4 linked regions of the Arabidopsis thaliana genome follow. The protein of the gene in region 1 binds, or shares a complex with, the protein of each later gene. Each region holds a gene or a part of one and is shown in the gene's direction. Other genes may lie near its edges.

Region 1 (4,477 bases):
TTTATTAAGTCGCTGGTAGTCAAATATCTTCGTTTTAACATATAAGCTTTTTATTATGTTAATTTTTTGGTTTTCACATCATATGATTATGTTAATTGATAAAGCTATTTAATTGATCAGAAAGAGCGAGAGCCACATGATAAATTCAAGTGACTTTGGCTTGAAAATAGGACGATGGCTTCACGGATCTATAGACTAACTAAGTCATCTGTCATTACATACGTCACGTTTATTTCATTTTATAATTACAAAAACACCAAAGTTAAATCAAATTATTCTTTGTTTTTGTCAACTGATTTGATATTGATAAATTTGTTGAAATTAAGTATATAGTACACACGGGAGTGACTAAAAAAAAAAAAAAAAAAAGAGAAACTAAAGCCGATATGCAATGAATAAATACTCGGAATCAAAAACGGGAGGAACACAAAAAATTATTGGAGTCTAAGCCATATAGAAAAAAAAAAGATATTAAAACCACAAAGCATAAAACTCAAAGCAAAATGAAAAAAAAACATATATTCTTACCTAAAAATATAAGCAACTAGGCATATATAAACCTTACTAAACAACACTAGTTAAGTCAAATTAGTCTTAAATTGATTTATGAAAGGTCTATTATACACGTCTAACAAAAAGGGTTTATATATCTCGAAGGTGGCAATGAAATATATAGTTCTTGTGTTGAACAAAGGTAATGAAATATTTAAAATTAAATTTCACTTGTATGGGATTGCACTTGCTCGTATTCACGTCATAGTGAATTGTGATAATATATTCTTTTTTTTCTTTTCATTGTGATAATTTTATTTTTTAGTCGTTATAGTTTGTTGTTTTGGTATATACAAAAAAGAATGAACAACAAAAAAGTGGGTTGATGGTAACCAAAAAAAAGTAGGTGTCACAAAAAAGAACATGTGATAGATGAGCCTCACTCCCGAAAAGAAGATGTACACAAAAACTCTGACCACAATTTAAAATGATAATAAACATGTGTTTTTTAAAATTCTTTTACCAAACAAGTGCTACTTTATTACGACAGTCGACATATATGTCCTTTTAATTTTTGTTAATTCAATCGCACGAGAATTAAAACAATGATTCGATTTGCTATGCCATTTTTTTTCAAAAATAAATTACACACATTTTTCTAAATTAAATCCCAAAGAAAATATAAACAAATCTTATTATATAAATTATGGTTTTCAAAGTTACTAACTCATACGATTATACCACGTGTCAAGTCTATCGATCAGATGTTGATACGTGTAAGAAAATAATTAACTTTTTTCTTTTAAAAAAAATAGAAATACTAAAAAAGAAATCAATTAACTTTTTTCTTCTTAAAGAATTAGATAACTAAAAAATAAATCATTATTAACATATACTAATTCATATGACTATATCTAAAAAAGATTACATTTTATTTTTCTTAACCAAAAGGATAATTAACAAAAAAAATATATATATGTTATTGGTCAAATTTTTAATATATATGGTATTAACAAAATTTGTATTATTATTAATTATGTTTTGTTAATTGTTAATAATTTTTAATATTAACTAAGATATAGATTTGATCTCATATAAATATTATTTTGACATGAAATTATTATCAAGTAAGATGAAGTGTGTAGAATTAAAATCGAGTTTTTTATGAAATAGATAGTTAAAATGTATTACAAAATTGAATGTGTAAGATAAAAATTTGTTTTTTTATTCTAAATACTAAATTATAATAAAGAAAAAATGTGTATGTTACTATTTAGACTTCAAATATCATCAATAAGATTGAATGAGTATAATAAAATAAAATGCATAAAACTACTATTTTACTATTCAAAATTATATATCAAAACAATATATAAATTATTATTTTACTATTCAAAATTTAAATATTATTGATAAAAAATTATATTTACATCTTACACCTGACCTTATCTAGTTTCTTATATAAGTTGCAATAAAAATACCAACAGATTCATAACTTTTTTTGGCACCCAGTCTCTCCACTCCTAGTGGCCACTAGTGTTCACACACAGTCAAAAAATTTTAATACAAAAAAAATTAGGAATCGAATTCAAAAAGGAAAGAAATCTAAAGAAGAAGACAGAGAGAGAAACAATCTCCAAAATACATAAATTTGTTCACATCCTTCCGTTTTTTGTTTGGCCGAGAAAAAAAAAAAATGTTGCCGGTCACAAGTCGCCGCCACTTCACAATGTCCCTATATATGCTCCGTTCATCTTCTCCACACATCAATCATCACTCTTTCCTTCTTCCTTCTTTTGTTTCCTCCAAATTCAAACACCATACTTTATCTCCTCCTCCTTCTCCTCCTCCTCCTCCTCCTATGGCTGCGTGCATCGACACCTGCCGCACTGGTAAACCCCAGATTTCTCCTCGCGATTCTTCTAAACACCACGACGATGAATCTGGCTTTCGTTACATGAACTACTTCCGTTATCCTGATCGATCTTCCTTCAATGGAACCCAGACCAAAACCCTCCATACTCGTCCTTTGCTTGAAGATCTCGATCGCGACGCTGAAGTCGATGATGTTTGGGCCAAAATCCGAGAAGAGGCTAAATCTGATATCGCCAAAGAACCTATTGTTTCCGCTTATTATCACGCTTCGATTGTTTCTCAGCGTTCGTTGGAAGCTGCGTTGGCGAATACTTTATCTGTTAAACTCAGCAATTTGAATCTTCCAAGCAACACGCTTTTCGATTTGTTCTCTGGTGTTCTTCAAGGAAACCCAGATATTGTTGAATCTGTCAAGCTAGATCTTTTAGCTGTTAAGGAGAGAGATCCTGCTTGTATAAGCTACGTTCATTGTTTCCTTCACTTTAAAGGCTTCCTCGCTTGTCAAGCGCATCGTATTGCTCATGAGCTTTGGACTCAGGACAGAAAAATCCTAGCTTTGTTGATCCAGAACAGAGTCTCTGAAGCCTTCGCTGTTGATTTCCACCCTGGAGCTAAAATCGGTACCGGGATTTTGCTAGACCATGCTACGGCTATTGTGATCGGTGAGACGGCGGTTGTGGGGAACAATGTTTCGATTCTCCATAACGTTACGCTTGGAGGAACGGGGAAACAGTGTGGAGATAGGCACCCGAAGATTGGCGATGGGGTTTTGATTGGAGCTGGGACTTGTATTTTGGGGAATATCACGATTGGTGAAGGAGCTAAGATTGGTGCGGGGTCGGTGGTGTTGAAAGACGTGCCGCCGCGTACGACGGCTGTTGGAAATCCGGCGAGGTTGCTTGGTGGTAAAGATAATCCGAAAACGCATGACAAGATTCCTGGTTTGACTATGGACCAGACGTCGCATATATCCGAGTGGTCGGATTATGTAATTTGAAAAAGTCTTTGTTTTTGGTTGTTGTTGTTGTTTATGGCTTTTCATTGTTCTCTCGGCTTCTTCTGTTATTGAAGCTGGTGAAGTATATGATATGCGATGATGCTGTTTCCATAATCAGATCATTTGTCTCTCCATAAGATAACACTGATTAAGATGGGATTGGAAAGTAAACTCGGAAACTCTGAACTCTGTTTAGTGGAGTTTCCTGTGGTTGGTTTCTGATTAGCAGAGACTTAAGATATGTTTAGTATGTAAGTGCTTATTTGGTTAAACCATGATTTCTGTGATCAGATTGTTGGGAAGAAACTGAAGATTCATCATTATTGTCTTGAGTTTTGTTTTGCTTACTACAGCTTTCTAGGAAATTATAACAAGACTAGTCAGGATCCAGGATTGCTTGCTACAATCAACTAGAACTCTACCTATTCTTCTGTAAGTGTCATCTGTTTCTGTTAAAACTTGTTGTAGAAAAAGTGGTGGGGTTAGATAGGAGTGGTATTTTCCATGAAATCGTCTCGATCTTTTTGGATTGTTGCGGAGAAACTTTTTAAAATATTATGTTTTCTCAAAGAAATTTCATTTGAATTTCTGGGAATTGAGGTTTGAAGCATTAAAAAAGCTAAGGGAAGACGTTGAGACGTCAAGGAATTATAAATTATTCCCCACTCAAGAGTTTGTCTTCGAAATAATATATTTATTGACGACTTCTCTATATATACTGTCCATCGTGATAGTCTTGAACAATATTCTCGTATCCATTGCCTAATGAAACAGAGTTACGCGATGGACAATCCTATCGTTTTTTTCCTCCTTGAGTCCAATTATTTTCCAATGTTCTCCATTTTCTTTAATCTTCTTTTGTTGCTAGTTATGTTTGGTTCCTGTGTTTACAAGAAAAGGTTGGGTTGGGAAAATAGTGATGCTTTCACGAATGAGAGGTTTAAGGATATGTCTTTAACATACAATAAACTGGTCGTTATATGTTGTGAGACTTTGTCTGCCTTGAATTCTGTGTTGTTGCTGTTAAGTTGCTTCAACCTGCATAAAAATGGTTGGGATCGCAGCGAACTGATGATTCTCTTAGATCTTTTATTTACAGCCCTTTCTTGGGGT
Region 2 (5,751 bases), on another chromosome or scaffold:
ATGTTCATGGTCACCTGATGGTACAAAAGTTACTGCCGGTAGCTCAGACCGTATGGTTCATATCTGGGACACAACCAGTCGGCGCACTATATATAAGCTCCCAGGCCATACCGGTTCTGTCAATGAGTGTGTTTTCCACCCAACCGAGCCTATCATTGGATCTTGCAGTAGTGATAAAAATATCTACTTGGGAGAGATCTGAATTTCAAAGCTGTGAAACCTTTGCAACTCTAAGTGGAATTGAAGTCTTTAGAATCGACGATGTGCTTTGAGACATTTTGTTTATTGAAAGAAAAAACGAAACATTGCTCTTTGGTACAAGTAATCAAGATTTGTTATCTCCTGTAATATCTTCATTACGCTCTTTATCTTCTTCTACTTTAACAGATGAGGTCATCATTTTAGTTCTCCTTAAAATTGTTATCTTTGGTATTACAATCTTGCAGTATCTTCGATTAGATTCTTACAGATTCAAGCAGTAGCAAGTATAAGCCCAGTCCAGTAACCAACTAACGCATATAAGTCTTTAGATTCAACAATGTGCTTAAGAAAGTTTGTCTATTGAAAGTAAAAAGCGAAACAGTGTTACTGCTACAAGTGATCAAGAAGAAGATTTGTTATCTCCTGTAATATCTTTATGCTCTTCATCTTCTTCTACTCTAACTTTGCTTCCACAGCAACCTCTTCTTCTATGTTCTTCAACCACAGTTTTTTTTACAATGCTGTCTCTTTTCTCTGCAAGCTCCAATCTTTTCTCCATAAACTCAGAATTCTCCTTCCAAATCTCTCCATTAGTGTAAACCTCTTTCTTCCATATCGGAACCGATGCCTTCAACTCGTCGATCAAGAACTTGCAAGCATCTAAACCATCTGCACGGTGAACAGATGAGACCGCAATGAGCACGCTAGTTTCTCCAACAGGAACTGGTCCAAGACGGTGAGCAACAGCAATCTTGTGGATATCCCAAGTTGATCTAGCAGTTGTACAGATCGAGCTGAGGCATCGTGTGGCCATTGGCACATATGCTTCATACCTTAACTCCAACACTGTCTTGCCCTCGAACATGTCTCTTGTAGTGCCTGAGAATGTCGCAATAGCACCAGCTTGAGGGGCACTGACATAATCAATGTACTTAACAACATCGACTTTGTGACCTTCCTCCAAGATCTCTATAAGGTTCTTCTCCTCTGCAGACATCTTTGATCCAATAGTAAACCTCGATACAATCGATGTTCTAGGAAGAGTAAACCAAGCTTAGCAGATGATCCGATAGCAAATTCTAACCTGCAATTGGAGGAAATAAACAACCATGACTATCTCATCACCTATCATCCAAAACTAATCAAACAGACAATTTGTTTAGTCAAAGGCAAACAGAGCAAATGAGGAACCTTTCTTGCGCAATCTAATGGCAATCACATCTTACTAATCCAGAAATGGAAGAGTCAAATCAACAAAGTAGGAGAATAGTGGACCAATGAACAAACTCAAAAAACGATGTCTCAAATCGGATTAAGAATTTGCCAAATCGGTCAATTTTTATTGAATCAGACAAAAACAGCAAAGGCACAAAACTCGTCTACAAAACTGACCAAAGTTCGAGTTTTTGTAAGATTGAGGATCGAATGGATAGAATCATAGAAAGACAGAGATAACGACAAAGAAGAATCGTCTCTTTCAGTACCTTACTACACTAAAAGTTTGTAATAACTTTAACAGCTACCCAGAAATTAAAAGAAGGCAAAGAACAAAAAGAGATCCAGAAAGATTTTATCTGACCTTTGAGAGTTTGGTAGGGCTGCATGATGAAGAAGAACATGTGCTCTATATTCACCTTCTTGTTGGATCAGACTAGTAGGTTGGTGAGATTGTAAAAAACAAAACTTTACTAATTCAATTTCAAAGTCTCTTCTTTTCTCCAGATACTCTGTTTTACCATTCAAGGAAAAAGGATAAATCTTGTAGAAAGAAGATGCCAAAATGATTTTTTTATTTAGAAATTAAACAGCGACGTCGTTTTGCAGCTACAGTGCGATCATCTAATCAGTCAGTGTCTTCAAGTTTAAACCGCATCTCTAGTCTCTCTCTACTTCTCTCTGTGTACAATATTCGGAAAGTGAGGAAGATACACTGAAGCAAAAGAGCAAGTCATGGCGGCGACATCTTCCTCTGCTTTTCTCCTTAATCCGTTGACTTCTCGCCACCGTCCTTTCAAATACTCGCCAGAGCTCTCTTCTCTCTCCTTATCCTCTCGAAAGGCTGCTGCTTTCGATGTTTCCTCAGCTGCTTTCACGCTCAAGAGACAGAGCCGGAGTGATGTTGTGTGCAAGGCTGTATCTATCAAGCCAGAAGCTGGTGTTGAAGGGCTCAATATCGCCGATAACGCCGCTCAGGTTAGATTGTGTTTCGTTTGCATTTGGATAGAGACAGAGGAAATCTAAATTGGTGATCAATTTTGTCAATTTAGGGGAAGATATAAACTAACTGAGTATTATTAGTCTTGTAAATTTGACTTCTTTGAATTTTGATTTCGTTTCTAATTTTTTTATATTCTTTCTGAATGTTATGAATTGATTCAGCTTATTGGGAAAACTCCGATGGTGTACTTGAACAATGTAGTCAAGGGCTGTGTTGCAAGTGTTGCTGCTAAGCTTGAGATCATGGAACCATGTTGCAGTGTCAAGGATAGGTTTGTGTATCCAAATATAATTTGATTTTGGTTTTGCTATCTTTCACATTTATACATTCTGAGCTTGTGTTGTTGTGGTGATTTCAGGATTGGGTACAGTATGATTACTGATGCTGAAGAGAAAGGACTTATAACACCTGGAAAGGTATTTGATTATGGATTTGACCTTTTATTGTTGTTGAATGATTCTGTATTGAGTGTCAACTGTCAAGCCCTCTGATTTTGTTTTCTTGCTGCAAATGTTTTAGAGTGTTCTTGTGGAATCTACGAGTGGGAACACAGGGATTGGCCTTGCATTCATTGCTGCTTCAAAAGGCTATAAACTTATCTTGACGATGCCTGCGTCCATGAGTTTGGAAAGGCGGGTTCTTTTGAGGGCATTTGGAGCTGAGCTTGTGTTAACTGAACCTGCAAAAGGTATGACTGGAGCAATTCAGAAGGCTGAAGAAATCTTGAAAAAAACTCCCAATTCCTACATGCTCCAACAGTTTGACAACCCTGCCAATCCCAAGGTCTGTAATTACTTCTTGTTTCATCATACTCTCTAACTGTGACATGAATTATGAGCTACGATTACTTCTGGCCTTGTACAGTAGTAAGAGGTGGTGTGTGAAAGGGTTCATTAGAGATGATAGTGAAATTCTTCCGCACTTCCTTTTGGATTGTTGTAGAGTTTCTATGGTATACAGTTTTGAATCATCACGATTATATCTGGGATTCACTGGTTCCATTGGTAAAAGCTGCAAGTATTTGTTAGTGTTTTGATATAAGATTAAATGCAGATTCATTATGAGACGACTGGTCCTGAGATTTGGGAAGATACAAGAGGCAAAATCGATATATTGGTTGCGGGGATTGGAACTGGTGGAACTATCACTGGTGTTGGTCGATTCATTAAAGAAAGAAAACCTGAATTGAAGGTACATAGCAAGAGGGCTTGTAGCATATCAGCTGGAATCAACTGTAGATGTTATAACCTCCGTAATTAGATTTAGTTGATGTTTACTTGTACTTGTAGTTATATTTAATTAGTTGATGTTTACTTGTACCAGGTTATTGGTGTCGAACCCACGGAAAGTGCTATACTTTCTGGTGGAAAACCCGGTAAGGCAGTGATTTTGTTTTTCTTGTTTCTCTGGCACGTTATTCTTTTTATCTTGCGTTTATTTGACATGTATTTGAAATGCAGGACCTCACAAGATTCAAGGAATTGGAGCTGGATTTGTACCCAAGAATTTGGATCTGGCTATTGTAGATGAATACATAGCGGTATGATCTGTTGGTTTGGTTCTCTATAACTATACATTCATCTTTTTCACTTTCAGCAAGCAACAATTTTCCTTTTTAACTTCACCTGTTTTGTTGCTTCTTATCAGATTTCCAGTGAGGAAGCTATTGAAACCTCGAAGCAACTAGCTCTCCAGGAAGGCTTGTTGGTTAGTCTATATTTGTTATTCTGTTTGACTTATTTGTTAGTGGGAACACTCTTTATAAAAGATAGAAAACGAATGTAAATGCATATGAGAAATCTATGACGATTAGTAAACGACTATAACCTTTTCAGGTTGGTATATCTTCTGGAGCTGCTGCTGCTGCTGCAATCCAGGTTGCAAAGAGACCTGAAAATGCCGGGAAACTCATAGCCGTAAGTCCTCAATGTTCTTCATCATAATTTCTTTATGGACCAAAACCTAGTCTTGTATCTGTGACCAACCACTGAATGATATAGAAAAAGAGTTCTTAAGTTATCTAATCATGAACCTTGGTCCTTTTAGAGTCTTACTACTTATTTTAACATTTGTATTTGAGTAGTTGGTTTGGTTTATACGTCTAATGAACGTTTACGTTGCCTTAATCTCTCTGCCACACCAAACCCTAGTCATTGCAAAGAACAAGAGAGGAGCTTAATCTCTCTGCCACACCAAACCCTAGTCATTGCAAAGAACAAGAGAGGAGCTTATTATTCAATTACTATAGCCCAACGTAGGGAATCAGTGAAAGGATTTTAGCTTAGTATGGAGTAAAAAATATAACAGATTCATCATATGTATAGTTTGATATGTGAGTTGCTGAATCTTGGTTTTCAGGTTGTGTTCCCGAGCTTCGGGGAACGTTACCTCTCGACCCAGCTTTTCCAGTCGATTCGAGAAGAGTGCGAGCAAATGCAGCCCGAGCTTTGATTTTCTTCTGTAATTTCGTGACCAACAAGGAACCTCTTCTTTGATTTATTGCTGATTGTTTTTCTTCTAATAGACGTTTCTGCAGAAATCTCTACGTCTACTGTGTATATTTACAATTCGCAACGCAATTTGGTGTTTGTTATTAATAAAGGCATAAGAGGTTTTGGTCAAACGAAGAGTCTTCTTCTTGAGCACAATTTTCGAGCGTTTTGTTTAATGTACCTGGAAACTTGTTTAGCTTTCTCCCAATGGAATCCATAAATGAAAGTTATGACGACTCTTCGAGTTTTGGACAAGACAGTCTCCTATATAATCGTCCTTTCGCCTATCTATATCTCTCCTTCCACTTAAAACTATTGTACTCTGTGCCTGCTTCTTATATAGCGATGATAAGAGCAGGATCAGTGGGAAAAAAATCGACATGTGAGTATACTTATTGGGACGACGGTGTTGGAGAAGAGGTGATGGGTGACGATAGTTGGGATTACGAGGGACGCAAGATCTCTCACATATATGTTGCTTTCGACGAAGTCATAATGTCTATTCAGTTTGGTTTTTTGGAGAATGGAGCTCTAGTCCTGTCTAAACAGCATGGTGGCATTGAGGAGGGCTCCAACTTTCGTGTTGTAAGTTTTGTGTCAATAACAATTATTTATTTTTGCGTTTGCGTAAGATCCGGTCAAGTTTTGTTTTTGATGAAGTTTAAACGCAGTTGAGACTGAATCAAGACGAATATGTAACTTGATTAAGTGGAGTACTAAGAAAGCATGGTGGAGGGATCAGAAATTTGACATTTCGCACTAACGTCGGGGAGTATATGATTGGACGTTCAAGCGACAATTATCCAAATCATTGGAAGATAGATATTGATCCGGCAATAT
Region 3 (5,253 bases), on another chromosome or scaffold:
AGTTGATAATCAGGGGACAACAGCTTGATGCGGTTCATTTCACTTTTGAAGTTGGTCTTGTACACTTGTTCCCTCCTGTTCCTTTGCTCAAAGCTTATCTGAGGGATGCAAAGAAAGCTACAGCTTTAATCACTGATGATTCCAACAATTCTGGCCGATCTGCGGTACTTTCCTCCATTTGTGTTACTCGTTTTCTTTGCTGGATCCATTTGCAGGGATCTGTTTCTTCTGCACTCGCTTACCAATGTATGTGTGTATTTTTCTAGCATCTTGTGGCGCGCAAAGAGCAATCAGCACTTAGAGCAGTCTTAAAATGCATAGAAGAATACAAACTCGAGGAAGAATTCCCACCCGAGAATCTCAAGAAGAGGTTGGATCAGCTAGAGAAGACCAAAACCGAGAAGAGAAAACCAGCCGTGATTCCCGCCAACAAGAGAACCCGAGCAAGCTACAGCGGTCCAATGCCACCAGCCAAAGCAGGGCGTATCACAAACGCTTACGTCTCCTCTTTCCCACCGCCTCCACCAACATTCATCAGATCCCAAAGTCACTCACCTCAATACGGTGTACCAGCATACACCACATCCCCACCTACCATCTACAGCAACAGGAGCCCTCCATACCAATACTCACCCGAGGCGGTTCATGGTTCTTACCAAACCTCTCCGGTCAGTTATCCGACAGCATATGGTACCTACTGCAGTCCGGTGGCTGCTCCACCCCCTCCAGTTTACCATCCTCACCCGCACCACCACCACCATATTCAGCATGCTTACTACTGATTAGACAATGACAAAGGAAAAAAGAAGATGGTAAGTAACCAACCACTGATCTCTGGTGTCTACGTTTTGTCTCTACCTCGTTTTTGTTGTAATCTCTCTTTTTTTATATCGTATCATTTGTAGCTAACACTCTCACTCTTTCTGGTTCTGAATTAGTCTACCCTTGTGTGTTTATTAATCTAAATTATACATATCTATTCACTTTCCTAATGTTTCAATCAACGAATTTAGTTCAGTACTTAATAGATTCATCTTAAACCAGGAATGTTTCACTGTGATTATGTTATGTATCACTGTTTGTATTGGCTCATTGAAATCAAGATTTCGAAGTCTCATAGCAAGATTCGTTACAAAGTGTTCGTATTACACCAAAAAAAAGACTTCTTTAGTCTAAATCAAGAAGATGATTAGTCGTTGGCAGTGGCGAGCTGGAGAGACAAGAGTTCTTCCTCAGGGATCATCTTAATGTGACAATCAGAAGTTGGATACGAAGCACATAGAAGCGTGTAGCCACGTTCAACCACATCATCACTTAGCATCCCACCACTTTGATCCACCGTTCCGGTCACGAGTTTCGCTGGACAAGTCATACAAACACCGAGATTGCAGTCGTAGGGAACGTCAAGGCCAGAGTCAAGAGCCTTAGATAGAATCGTCTCGTCTGGTTCGACTTCCAATTCAGTCGTCTTTCCGTCGTGCTCTACCACCACTTTATATGCCCGAGCTATGATCCTTCCGGTGGTGAGAAAGTTCCGGCGGTTTGTTGTTGTTGAGAGTGTTGCGTTACGGAGTGGGAAGGAGAAGGAATTGGAGAGATAAGGTTTAGGGAGAGAGATTGTAGAAGTTTGAGTCGGGAGAGGAAGAGTCGCCATGAGAGACAGAGAGACGGAGACAAAAGAGTTTTTGTGTCAAGTGAGAGTGATGACTGTTTGTGGTGAATACGGAGATAAGGTTGATCATCGGTTGTAGATAGTGGTGGGACATAAAAACCGAAAACCGACTTAAACCGAAATTCATTAATGCATTAAACCGAATTAACCAAGATCTAATAAAATGAATTTTAAAATTTTAATTATATTCGTAATTAAGGGAAATATTTTTTCCAAAACAGTTTGAACAAATAAATTCAGTATTATTTTTCCATACTCAAAACTCCAAATCGGACTAACTGAAAAAAAGAAACCGAATGTTCAAACCCCAGTTATGGAAAATATTAACCGGACTTAATACGGATATGACCAAATCAGACCGAGAAGTAGTAATTCTGGTGACCAACCACCGCGTTTTTCTAAATTGATAGCGTGTGCCATGTGACTGACACCAAAGAGATCATATATCTCATCATTCGAAGATTTTATTCCATACAACCGATTTTCTCCATTTTCTTCAAAACGATTCGGGTCAAGGTTATTGACTTTCTCATTCAGGTATCATCTTCTTCCTCGTCCCATACTTTTTGATTCACTTGCTTATTCCTCTGCCGGTTTCGATTATATTTGTTTGGATCGGATAATTGTATGGGCTTAAGCTTATTTCGCTGTTAAATCTGTTGATTTGGTGTTAAGAGTGTTGTATAACTGGATTGGTGCTCATACATCTGGAGATTTATGTTTGATGATTTTGTATGATGTGTTTTTGGTTTGAGGATGATTTATTCCTTTGGTCTTACTTTTCTCTTTTTGTGAATTTAAGCAGTGAAGCTTGAATCATGGCCTCGAGAATTGCTAAAGATGTGACTGAAGTAAGGCTTTCAAGTTCTTTCACTGTTCATTTCACGAAGGAGTGAGCTTTGTTCCATGTTCATGTATTGATTGATTCTATTTGGCAGTTGATTGGGAACACTCCATTGGTGTATTTGAACAATGTTGCTGAAGGATGTGTTGGTCGTGTTGCTGCTAAGCTTGAGATGATGGAACCGTGCTCTAGCGTCAAAGACAGGTTTCTTCTCTAGTCCAGAAACTATGTGTTGTTTCTCGCTTCGAGTTTCGGTTTTGTGAAGACCTTGTACTTTGTTTATTTCTGCAGGATTGGTTTTAGCATGATTTCTGATGCAGAAAAGAAGGGTCTTATCAAACCAGGAGAGGTCAGTTTCGATTATCTGAATCTTCAAACCACTATTTTGTTTTTGTTTTCATTGTTTCTGACTTTTTGTTTGTTCTTTAGAGTGTGCTGATTGAGCCAACAAGTGGAAACACTGGAGTTGGGTTAGCATTCACGGCAGCTGCCAAAGGCTACAAGCTTATTATTACAATGCCAGCTTCTATGAGTACTGAGAGAAGAATCATTCTCTTAGCTTTTGGAGTTGAGTTGGTTTTAACTGACCCAGCTAAGGGCATGAAAGGAGCTATCGCAAAGGCGGAAGAGATTTTGGCGAAAACACCCAATGGTTACATGCTTCAGCAGTTTGAGAACCCTGCCAACCCTAAGGTATGCTTATTATTTACTATTGCTTTAGTGTATCTGTTTTTGTCTGTTTTTGAACCATATTAAGTCGATGGAATTTCACTGTCAAATGCAGATCCACTATGAGACTACGGGACCTGAGATATGGAAAGGCACTGGTGGCAAAATCGATGGCTTTGTTTCTGGGATTGGTACTGGTGGTACCATTACAGGTGCTGGGAAGTATCTTAAAGAACAGAACGCAAACGTCAAGGTGAGAGCTCCATCTTTTCGAACAACTGGCTTTGTTATCTAAGTGACTAAGTGGTGTGTCTTTGCACGGTTTCTCATTTTGTTTCCTCTTCTGTTAGCTGTATGGAGTGGAGCCAGTTGAAAGTGCTATTCTATCCGGTGGGAAGCCAGGTGATTTTGGTTCCCCCTGCGTTTATTACGATAACCATGCATGCATGTTCCTCGTTTCTCGGTTTGCCTCATGTCTTATTTTTTATCCTCGGAGTTTCCTAACACATGATGTTTGCTGAAAATATCAAGGTCCTCACAAGATTCAAGGGATAGGAGCTGGTTTTATACCAAGTGTATTGAATGTTGATCTTATTGACGAAGTTGTTCAGGTAAGACTGCTTTTCGATATTATCGACTGATAGCAAAACACAATTGAATGCAAGAGAGCTTCATTTCTTACTTGACTCTCTCCATTTTCCTGTAACGCTTTCAACAGGTTTCAAGTGATGAATCCATTGACATGGCAAGGCAGCTTGCTCTTAAAGAAGGTCTTCTTGTAAGTGTTTCACATTTCACAACAAAAAGCTATCTCCATCAGAATTACAACTTCGTTCTGTTTCTAAAAACAAAAGCTATACTGTAGGTGGGAATATCATCCGGTGCAGCAGCTGCTGCAGCAATTAAACTTGCACAGAGGCCAGAAAACGCTGGGAAGCTATTTGTGGTAAGCTCTTTGATTCTATCATCACCCCAAAGCCAATAAGCTCTGATTACATAACCCGGATTTCTTTCTGATTCTGATGTAAACGAAATCAACTGAATTATTTTACAGGCGATATTCCCGAGTTTCGGGGAGAGGTATCTATCAACGGTACTTTTCGATGCGACAAGGAAAGAAGCGGAAGCCATGACCTTCGAGGCTTGAACATTCTCCATTTCTTCTTAAGAGACGCCAAAATAAAAGAGATGTTCAGTTTCTCCTATAGAGACTCTTCATCTTTAGTTACATTGCGTCTTTGCTTCCATCTGTATCTTCTCTTGTGTGCCAATAAAAGTCAAACTAGATTTTCTCTGTTTCTTTTGTGAACCACTTGCTTGTTAATGAAGTTTAAATTTGCTATGTAACTTTGTTCATAAGTATCATACTGTTTCATGATCAAAACTAAACCAACATAACCCAAGTCAATATTTCAGGCTAAATATAAGATTAGGATAAGAAGAAGGTAATGCTCAAAAGGAGTGATTCCGATAATTCTCTTTATCATCATCTACACAAATCAACAATGTTTCGATTTCTCATTGCAATCACTAAAAATTGTACACACAAATTTTACCATTTTCAATTCACAGGATCAGCTGAAGAAGTCTTGAACACCTCTTCCGATGAACACTCGATCAGAGAGTTCAGCCAAAAGGAAATTGACAGTGAGCAAGACGACGCTAGAGCCAGCGATAACACCGAGCACGACGCCGGTAGTTCCGAGAACTTTCTGAAACGCCGGCCACTCAATCTCCTTCACTTCCTCCGCAACTCCACTAAGAAACTCGTTCTTCCCTTTCTCTTCCTCCGCCGTTTTCCTCTGCTCCATCGCTGCTTTTATCTCTGCTCCTATCGCGCTAATCTCCACTTCCTTATCTTCTCCGCTTCCACTCTCTTCCGCCGGTGACGGAGTCGCTTCTGATTCCGATTCAGATCCAGCTGTATCTCGTCTCTGTTCTATAGCCTTAGCCACAAAACACGCCGATTTCCTCAGATTACTCGTCGTCATAGTTCTTATCTCAGTGTAAACCGGAAATACACGGAGATTAGACAGTGACGGTTTTGTATCCCGGAGACTCCTGGTTA
Region 4 (5,884 bases), about 18 Mb from region 1:
TCTAAAAAGTACATTATAGACCAAAAAAAAAAAAAAAAAATAGCCCACTTTTAGTTGAAATCATACTAAATAGCAACACTTTTAGAAGAGATAAACACATTAGTCGGAACACCTGTAACGAACTTAGTTACAAAAGACTGTGCACACTCAAACAAGTTAGCACCTAGTCGCAACACTTAGTTGAGATACGAACCTAAATATCTCTAATCAATCGTTTGTAAACCACATTTTAGTTTAGCCAAAAACAGTCGAATACTCAAACATTATATCACTTTTTAGTTTCGTCAAATCATATTGAATAGTCGAAAAATAAACGAAATGCGTTCTCGGGTAATAAGTATTCTAGAGCAAAAATGTGATTAAAAACAATATGAGTAAAATGCATTCATGAATTATGAAGTTGCAAATTTCAACCAGCTGATGCCGACGTGTTGGATTTCAGGAAGTTGTTGGATATCAAAGACCCTTGGAGATCTTAGGGTTTAGGCTTCTAGAGGCTTTAAGCATTGTACAATTTGTAAACTTCAAAGCATTAGTCGGGGTTGTTCTTAGTCGAGTTGAATAATTAGGCTTAATTATTCTTAATTGTTCTTAGTGTTAGTTCTTTTTGTCTTCACGGGCGGCTGATAAGAAATAGAGGACAATTAGGCTTAATTATTCATTCAGGTAGAAAATGTCGGGGTTGTTCATTCAGGGGTTGTTCATTAAACTTAATTCTCCTTAGTCGGGGTTGTTCATTCAGGTAGAATATGTCAAGTAAGTTCCGAGATAATACTTGTTAAAGAGTTTATTATCAATAAAAATAAAGTTTAAGCACTTGTTGTTTGCAAGTGAATTCTCTGTGTTGTTTTTGTCTCTATACCTTTTAAATTATATTTTTATTGAATATATAGAGTAAATGTAAAATGGTAAGACTTTTGGTATATAGTTTTTTAAGTGAATTTGACGCATAAATTTCATGAAACTCTTACATAATATATATATCAAAATTGTATAACAAAATTTTTGTATTTTACAGACATTACTTAAAATTGCATAACTACAAACGAAAAACAACCAATTTTCTCAGACTTTTACAGTTTGTACTTCGAATGGTTAAGAAATCAGATTCTATTGATGTGGTTACTCGTTACCCAATAAAATAGTAATTGATCATAATTTAATGTTCTATTGATGTAGAAGTCTTAGAAGATACTTACTAATGGACGAAAATATCGAGAAAGAAAAAAAAAAAGGTACAACAACGGCATATTTCCGTGAGAATAATGCGCGTGGAACGATTAATGTGGCTATTCATTGCTTAACGGCCTTTTTAGTGTCGGCTCTAAGGCCCATTTTTGTCTTTGTGCAAATTTAACGGTGAATGTGTTTGTTCAGGTGTTTTACATTTTTTTTTTTTGAGTGTTGGAACGCTTTTGTTAGAGTTTATGTAGCTCGGATTAAGACAACCCTAATTGGCTAATTGCTACCGCCTACCATTGTTTGACTCAGTTATACGGGCTTAAGATGAGCTGATTCCTTATCGAACAAACCAAAACCAAATAATGTCAAATTTAAGAAGAAGAATCTTTTCAAGTTACATTTTCTCAGAAGCTTTTGGTTCCTTTGTTACTGACTATTTCCTTGTTGACCAAACCAAAACCAAACAATGTCAAATTCAAGAACAAGAATATCTAACGGCAACGGATCCAAGACGATGAATTTGACATTAAAAAAAAAAAAGTTAACCAGAAAGATTCATGCAACACTTGAGAGGTATGAAGGTACGAATAAGAACACATTCTCCACGTTCGCTTTTGGTCAGTGCACTTCACTTGGTTGGTGATTAAAAAAAAAATGTATAAAATATAAAAATGAAACTTAATATAAAGTTGAAAGCTTGGTCTAAAAATGGACCGTATCTGAAAATCCAATCGACGTCGTATTCCAAGAAAATAGAAAAGTAGGATCATGGTGGCGATGATCATGGCTTCAAGGTTTAACCGGGAAGCTAAGCTCGCATCTCAAATCTTGTCTACACTTTTGGGAAACCGAAGCTGCTACACATCCATGGCCGCCACATCTTCCTCTGCTTTACTTCTTAATCCGTTGACTTCTTCTTCTTCTTCTTCTACTCTCCGTCGTTTCAGATGCTCGCCAGAGATCTCTTCTCTCTCCTTCTCCTCCGCTTCTGATTTCTCTCTAGCGATGAAGAGGCAGAGTCGGAGTTTTGCTGATGGTTCGGAACGAGATCCGTCTGTTGTGTGTGAGGCTGTTAAGCGCGAGACTGGACCTGATGGACTCAACATCGCTGACAATGTGTCTCAGGTTAGATTTGAAATTGAAATTGGTGATCAAATTTTTGAGCTTTCCTCTAATGGGAATGTTGGCGAAAGTGTGATTGTCCATTAAAATTTGAAACTTGATTAGCTTTTTAAATAGTTCAGAATTTACTTACGTATCTCTCATTGTTCTTGGCTTGATTCAGCTCATTGGGAAAACTCCTATGGTGTACTTGAACAGTATAGCAAAAGGTTGTGTAGCAAATATTGCTGCCAAACTCGAGATCATGGAGCCATGTTGCAGTGTCAAGGATAGGTCTGTAGCTTAAGTCTTTTGTGGCTTGTTTGTATGTTTTTAGTTGAGTCCCTTCAAGTCCTAACTTTTATGTTTCACGGATTCAGGATTGGGTACAGTATGGTTACTGATGCTGAGCAAAAAGGATTTATATCACCTGGAAAGGTATCGATTATAGATTGATCAGTCTTTTGTAAAGTTTAATGGATGAGACCAGCTTTTACACACATAAAGTTGTACAATCTATAGTCTGTTATTTCTGGTGGTTAATCATGTCCTTACTGCATTGATCTAGAGTGTTCTTGTGGAACCTACAAGTGGAAACACGGGTATTGGCCTAGCATTCATCGCTGCTTCAAGGGGCTATAGACTTATCTTGACAATGCCAGCATCCATGAGTATGGAAAGAAGGGTTCTTTTAAAGGCATTTGGAGCTGAGCTTGTATTAACAGATCCTGCTAAAGGCATGACTGGAGCGGTTCAGAAGGCTGAAGAGATCTTGAAAAACACTCCTGATGCATACATGCTCCAACAGTTTGACAACCCTGCAAATCCAAAGGTTTGTGGTTTATATTTTTCCTTATTTGTGTCATGATTTGGTTTTTGCTCTAGTCATGTACCATAAGAAGAGAAATGAAATGTTAAGTTAGAGTTAACCAGAAACTCATCTGTATTTAGAGAATGCCCACAAGTGTGTAACTGAAGTGGTTTTCACTTAAACTGTACAAGCAAATTGGGAAGTGGCTGATCCTTTGAAATCGGCATGATCTTCTGTGAGGTTCTCTTGTCACGTTTGTAAACTCAAGTTTGAATATACGCAGATTCATTACGAGACTACTGGTCCTGAGATCTGGGATGATACAAAGGGCAAGGTGGATATCTTTGTTGCAGGAATTGGAACTGGTGGAACTATCACTGGTGTTGGTCGATTTATTAAAGAGAAAAATCCCAAAACGCAGGTAGATGCAAAAGTTCAATGGTTTCATTCTTAGCTGGAGTACATTTTCAGGTGTTATTTAGACAGTATTGTATGTTCATTCAAGCAATATAATTCGTAGTTAACTATTCGATGTTTACATGTACCAGGTTATTGGTGTAGAACCCACCGAAAGCGATATACTTTCTGGTGGCAAACCGGGTAAGGCTTGCCAATAGATATCAATCAGTAATTTTGTTTCCATGATTTCGAAATATGATCTTATATTCACGTATTTTGCTTTCTCTTGCATTTATACAGGACCTCACAAGATTCAAGGAATTGGAGCTGGATTTATACCTAAGAATTTGGATCAGAAAATTATGGATGAAGTCATAGCGGTATGATTTATTTTGTTGGATTCTGTATGGTTATACAATTTATCTGGTTTCCACAAAACATCCACAATTCTTGTGTCAATTTATTGCTTAAATTTTCCAATTCCTGAGACTCAAACTTCATCAATTACTATCTTCTTTTTGCGTTTACCAGATTTCAAGTGAGGAAGCTATAGAAACCGCAAAGCAACTAGCTCTTAAGGAAGGCTTGATGGTTAGTTCTTTGCAGTATTTATGATTTCTGAGTGGGAACCACACGGATGTTGTGGTGTCATGTTGCATGTGAAAGGTGGAAATTACACAAGATTCTTACGTGAATGTAATAATCTTGTCAGGTTGGTATATCATCTGGAGCTGCAGCTGCTGCTGCAATCAAGGTGGCTAAGAGACCTGAGAATGCTGGAAAACTCATAGCTGTAAGTCTTTTCGGTTTCAGTTATGTGTTATGTCTTGAAAACAAAAAGGTGGTGCAAGGGGTCTTTGTGCAACATATAGATGGATTGCTTTAGATTTCATCTTAAGATAGATTTGAGGATTATTAAAGTCTCCCGAGTCTGTGATCCAATACTAAACCAAAGAATCAACAATATAGTCACTTGGCTAGTTAGATTGTTAAATCTTCTAAGTAGGTAACTGTTAATGAATCTATGAATGCGGTTTTTCAGGTTGTTTTCCCGAGCTTCGGGGAGAGATATCTATCGACCCCGCTGTTCCAGTCTATCCGGGAAGAGGTGGAGAAAATGCAGCCTGAGGTATGAACATTAGCAACTTGGTCTACTTCTGCAAAGCTCTTTCTCCCATAATTACAGTCTGAGTGCTAAGCAATTTATTTTTATCAATAAGGCATTAGTGAATGTGGTTTGAGTTCTATTTTGGATATCCAACACTAGTCTATGTTTTACTCAACATTTTCTGTTGGAAATCCCAATGCTTAATTATATTGAATTGAACAAGATGATTGATCCCTTGTTTGTTTTTCTTGTTAACCTAAAAAATATTAACTTTCATGAGTATTTTCATATATAATGATCAACGATGATAGGTTAGTGATATAACTTTACTTTTTCATGTAGACCAATAGAAAAAAATAAAATCAGAATCTAACTCTAAAACATGTCAAAAACTTATTTTTAATACAAATTTTGTGGTCAAAACTTTGGATGTGAAACTTACTTTGTTCGATTATTGCTTTTAAAGTACTTTTTGATGTTTTCCAGTTTTCACACAGTTTTAAGATCATAGAAAAATCCCGTCTTTTTGAAATTTTGATCCATATATTTTCTAATGCTCAGAGAGTCAGCGGTTAATATTAGGATTAGGACACGCTCTACCAATCCCACGATAATTGCTTTGAATCCAATGAAGATTGGAAGATTATTATCTTAATTGCTTTACGACTTGGTTTAGGCCCCATGTGTGTGTAAATACATAAATTTTTAATATGAACAACGCGGAAATCCATGTGAACGTTCGTTTCCATTTTGTTCGACCCTACTTTTGCAGTTTGGAATTCTTTTATACTCTTACTTAACTCTCAATGAGATGATAAAAATATCTCATATGATCAATTTCTTCCCATAAGCAAAAACAAAAAAAATCCTAACATGCCTAGTGAACTCAAAGTCTTGCATATAGTTCTTGTTCTGCTCTATACTCTGTCTTCATCTACTTACAACTCCAATGGAAACTGGACCCTGGAGGGCTCTGCAGCTGACAACTCCATTGGTGACACCATTTTAACGAACACCAAGAAGCATTCCTGCGGTCAAACTTTCAACAACGAATCCATTCCCATAAAAGATTCGTCTTTCAGCTTCCACTTCCTCTTTGGAATAGTACCTGAGCATACACAGTCCGGTTCACATGGCATGTCTTTCGTTATCTCTCCTACAGCAGGCCTTCCAGGAGCTTCCTCCGATCAGTACCTCGGATTATTCAATGAAACAACCAACGGTAAATCATCAAACCACGTTATAGCTATCGAGTTAGATATACAAAAAGACCAAGAGTTCGG

Evidence for each region.
Region 2: SERAT2;2 (region 1) and OASB share a complex: the UniProt entries of both Arabidopsis thaliana proteins name them as parts of the cysteine synthase complex.
Region 3: SERAT2;2 (region 1) and OASA1 share a complex: the UniProt entries of both Arabidopsis thaliana proteins name them as parts of the cysteine synthase complex.
Region 4: SERAT2;2 (region 1) and OASC share a complex: the UniProt entries of both Arabidopsis thaliana proteins name them as parts of the cysteine synthase complex.

Annotation. Positions count from the first base shown.
Region 1 is NC_003074.8:4,213,826-4,218,302, reverse strand, and holds SERAT2;2 (serine acetyltransferase 2;2), read left to right. Parts: upstream 1-2,000; 5' UTR 2,001-2,188; coding exon 2,189-3,364; 3' UTR 3,365-3,904; downstream 3,905-4,477. Other genes in the region: ABCC7 (multidrug resistance-associated protein 7), read left to right, coding at 4,130-4,477.
Region 2 is NC_003071.7:18,128,723-18,134,473, reverse strand, and holds OASB (O-acetylserine (thiol) lyase B), read left to right. Parts: upstream 1-1,835; 5' UTR 1,836-2,151; coding exon 2,152-2,394; intron 2,395-2,580; coding exon 2,581-2,690; intron 2,691-2,777; coding exon 2,778-2,835; intron 2,836-2,938; coding exon 2,939-3,202; intron 3,203-3,472; coding exon 3,473-3,610; intron 3,611-3,742; coding exon 3,743-3,794; intron 3,795-3,879; coding exon 3,880-3,959; intron 3,960-4,066; coding exon 4,067-4,126; intron 4,127-4,254; coding exon 4,255-4,335; intron 4,336-4,632; exon of another isoform or gene 4,633-4,777; coding exon 4,778-4,870; 3' UTR 4,871-5,039; downstream 5,040-5,751. Other genes in the region: AT2G43770 (Transducin/WD40 repeat-like superfamily protein), read left to right, coding at 1-202; AT2G43760 (molybdopterin biosynthesis MoaE family protein), read right to left, coding at 602-1,198; AT2G43745 (jacalin lectin-like protein), read left to right, coding at 5,119-5,496, 5,583-5,615. UniProt on the Arabidopsis thaliana protein: Acts as a major cysteine synthase.
Region 3 is NC_003075.7:8,517,288-8,522,540, reverse strand, and holds OASA1 (O-acetylserine (thiol) lyase (OAS-TL)), read left to right. Parts: upstream 1-1,944; 5' UTR 1,945-2,209; exon of another isoform or gene 2,210-2,404; intron 2,405-2,474; exon of another isoform or gene 2,475-2,477; 5' UTR 2,478-2,490; coding exon 2,491-2,523; intron 2,524-2,610; coding exon 2,611-2,720; intron 2,721-2,807; coding exon 2,808-2,865; intron 2,866-2,945; coding exon 2,946-3,209; intron 3,210-3,300; coding exon 3,301-3,438; intron 3,439-3,535; coding exon 3,536-3,587; intron 3,588-3,716; coding exon 3,717-3,796; intron 3,797-3,903; coding exon 3,904-3,963; intron 3,964-4,050; coding exon 4,051-4,131; intron 4,132-4,239; coding exon 4,240-4,332; 3' UTR 4,333-4,581; downstream 4,582-5,253. Other genes in the region: AT4G14900 (FRIGIDA-like protein), read left to right, coding at 1-164, 267-782; FdC1 (2Fe-2S ferredoxin-like superfamily protein), read right to left, coding at 1,190-1,654; SECE1 (secE/sec61-gamma protein transport protein), read right to left, coding at 4,760-5,253. UniProt on the Arabidopsis thaliana protein: Acts as a major cysteine synthase, probably involved in maintaining organic sulfur level.
Region 4 is NC_003074.8:22,071,412-22,077,295, reverse strand, and holds OASC (O-acetylserine (thiol) lyase), read left to right. Parts: upstream 1-1,879; 5' UTR 1,880-1,950; coding exon 1,951-2,307; intron 2,308-2,467; coding exon 2,468-2,577; intron 2,578-2,663; coding exon 2,664-2,721; intron 2,722-2,851; coding exon 2,852-3,115; intron 3,116-3,377; coding exon 3,378-3,515; intron 3,516-3,642; coding exon 3,643-3,694; intron 3,695-3,793; coding exon 3,794-3,873; intron 3,874-4,024; coding exon 4,025-4,084; intron 4,085-4,205; coding exon 4,206-4,286; coding exon of another isoform or gene 4,287-4,299; intron 4,300-4,535; coding exon 4,536-4,622; coding exon of another isoform or gene 4,623-4,635; exon of another isoform or gene 4,636-5,032; intron 5,033-5,162; coding exon 5,163-5,177; 3' UTR 5,178-5,348; downstream 5,349-5,884. Other genes in the region: AT3G59750 (Concanavalin A-like lectin protein kinase family protein), read left to right, coding at 5,475-5,884. UniProt on the Arabidopsis thaliana protein: Acts as a cysteine synthase. Plays a role in the sulfide detoxification in mitochondria.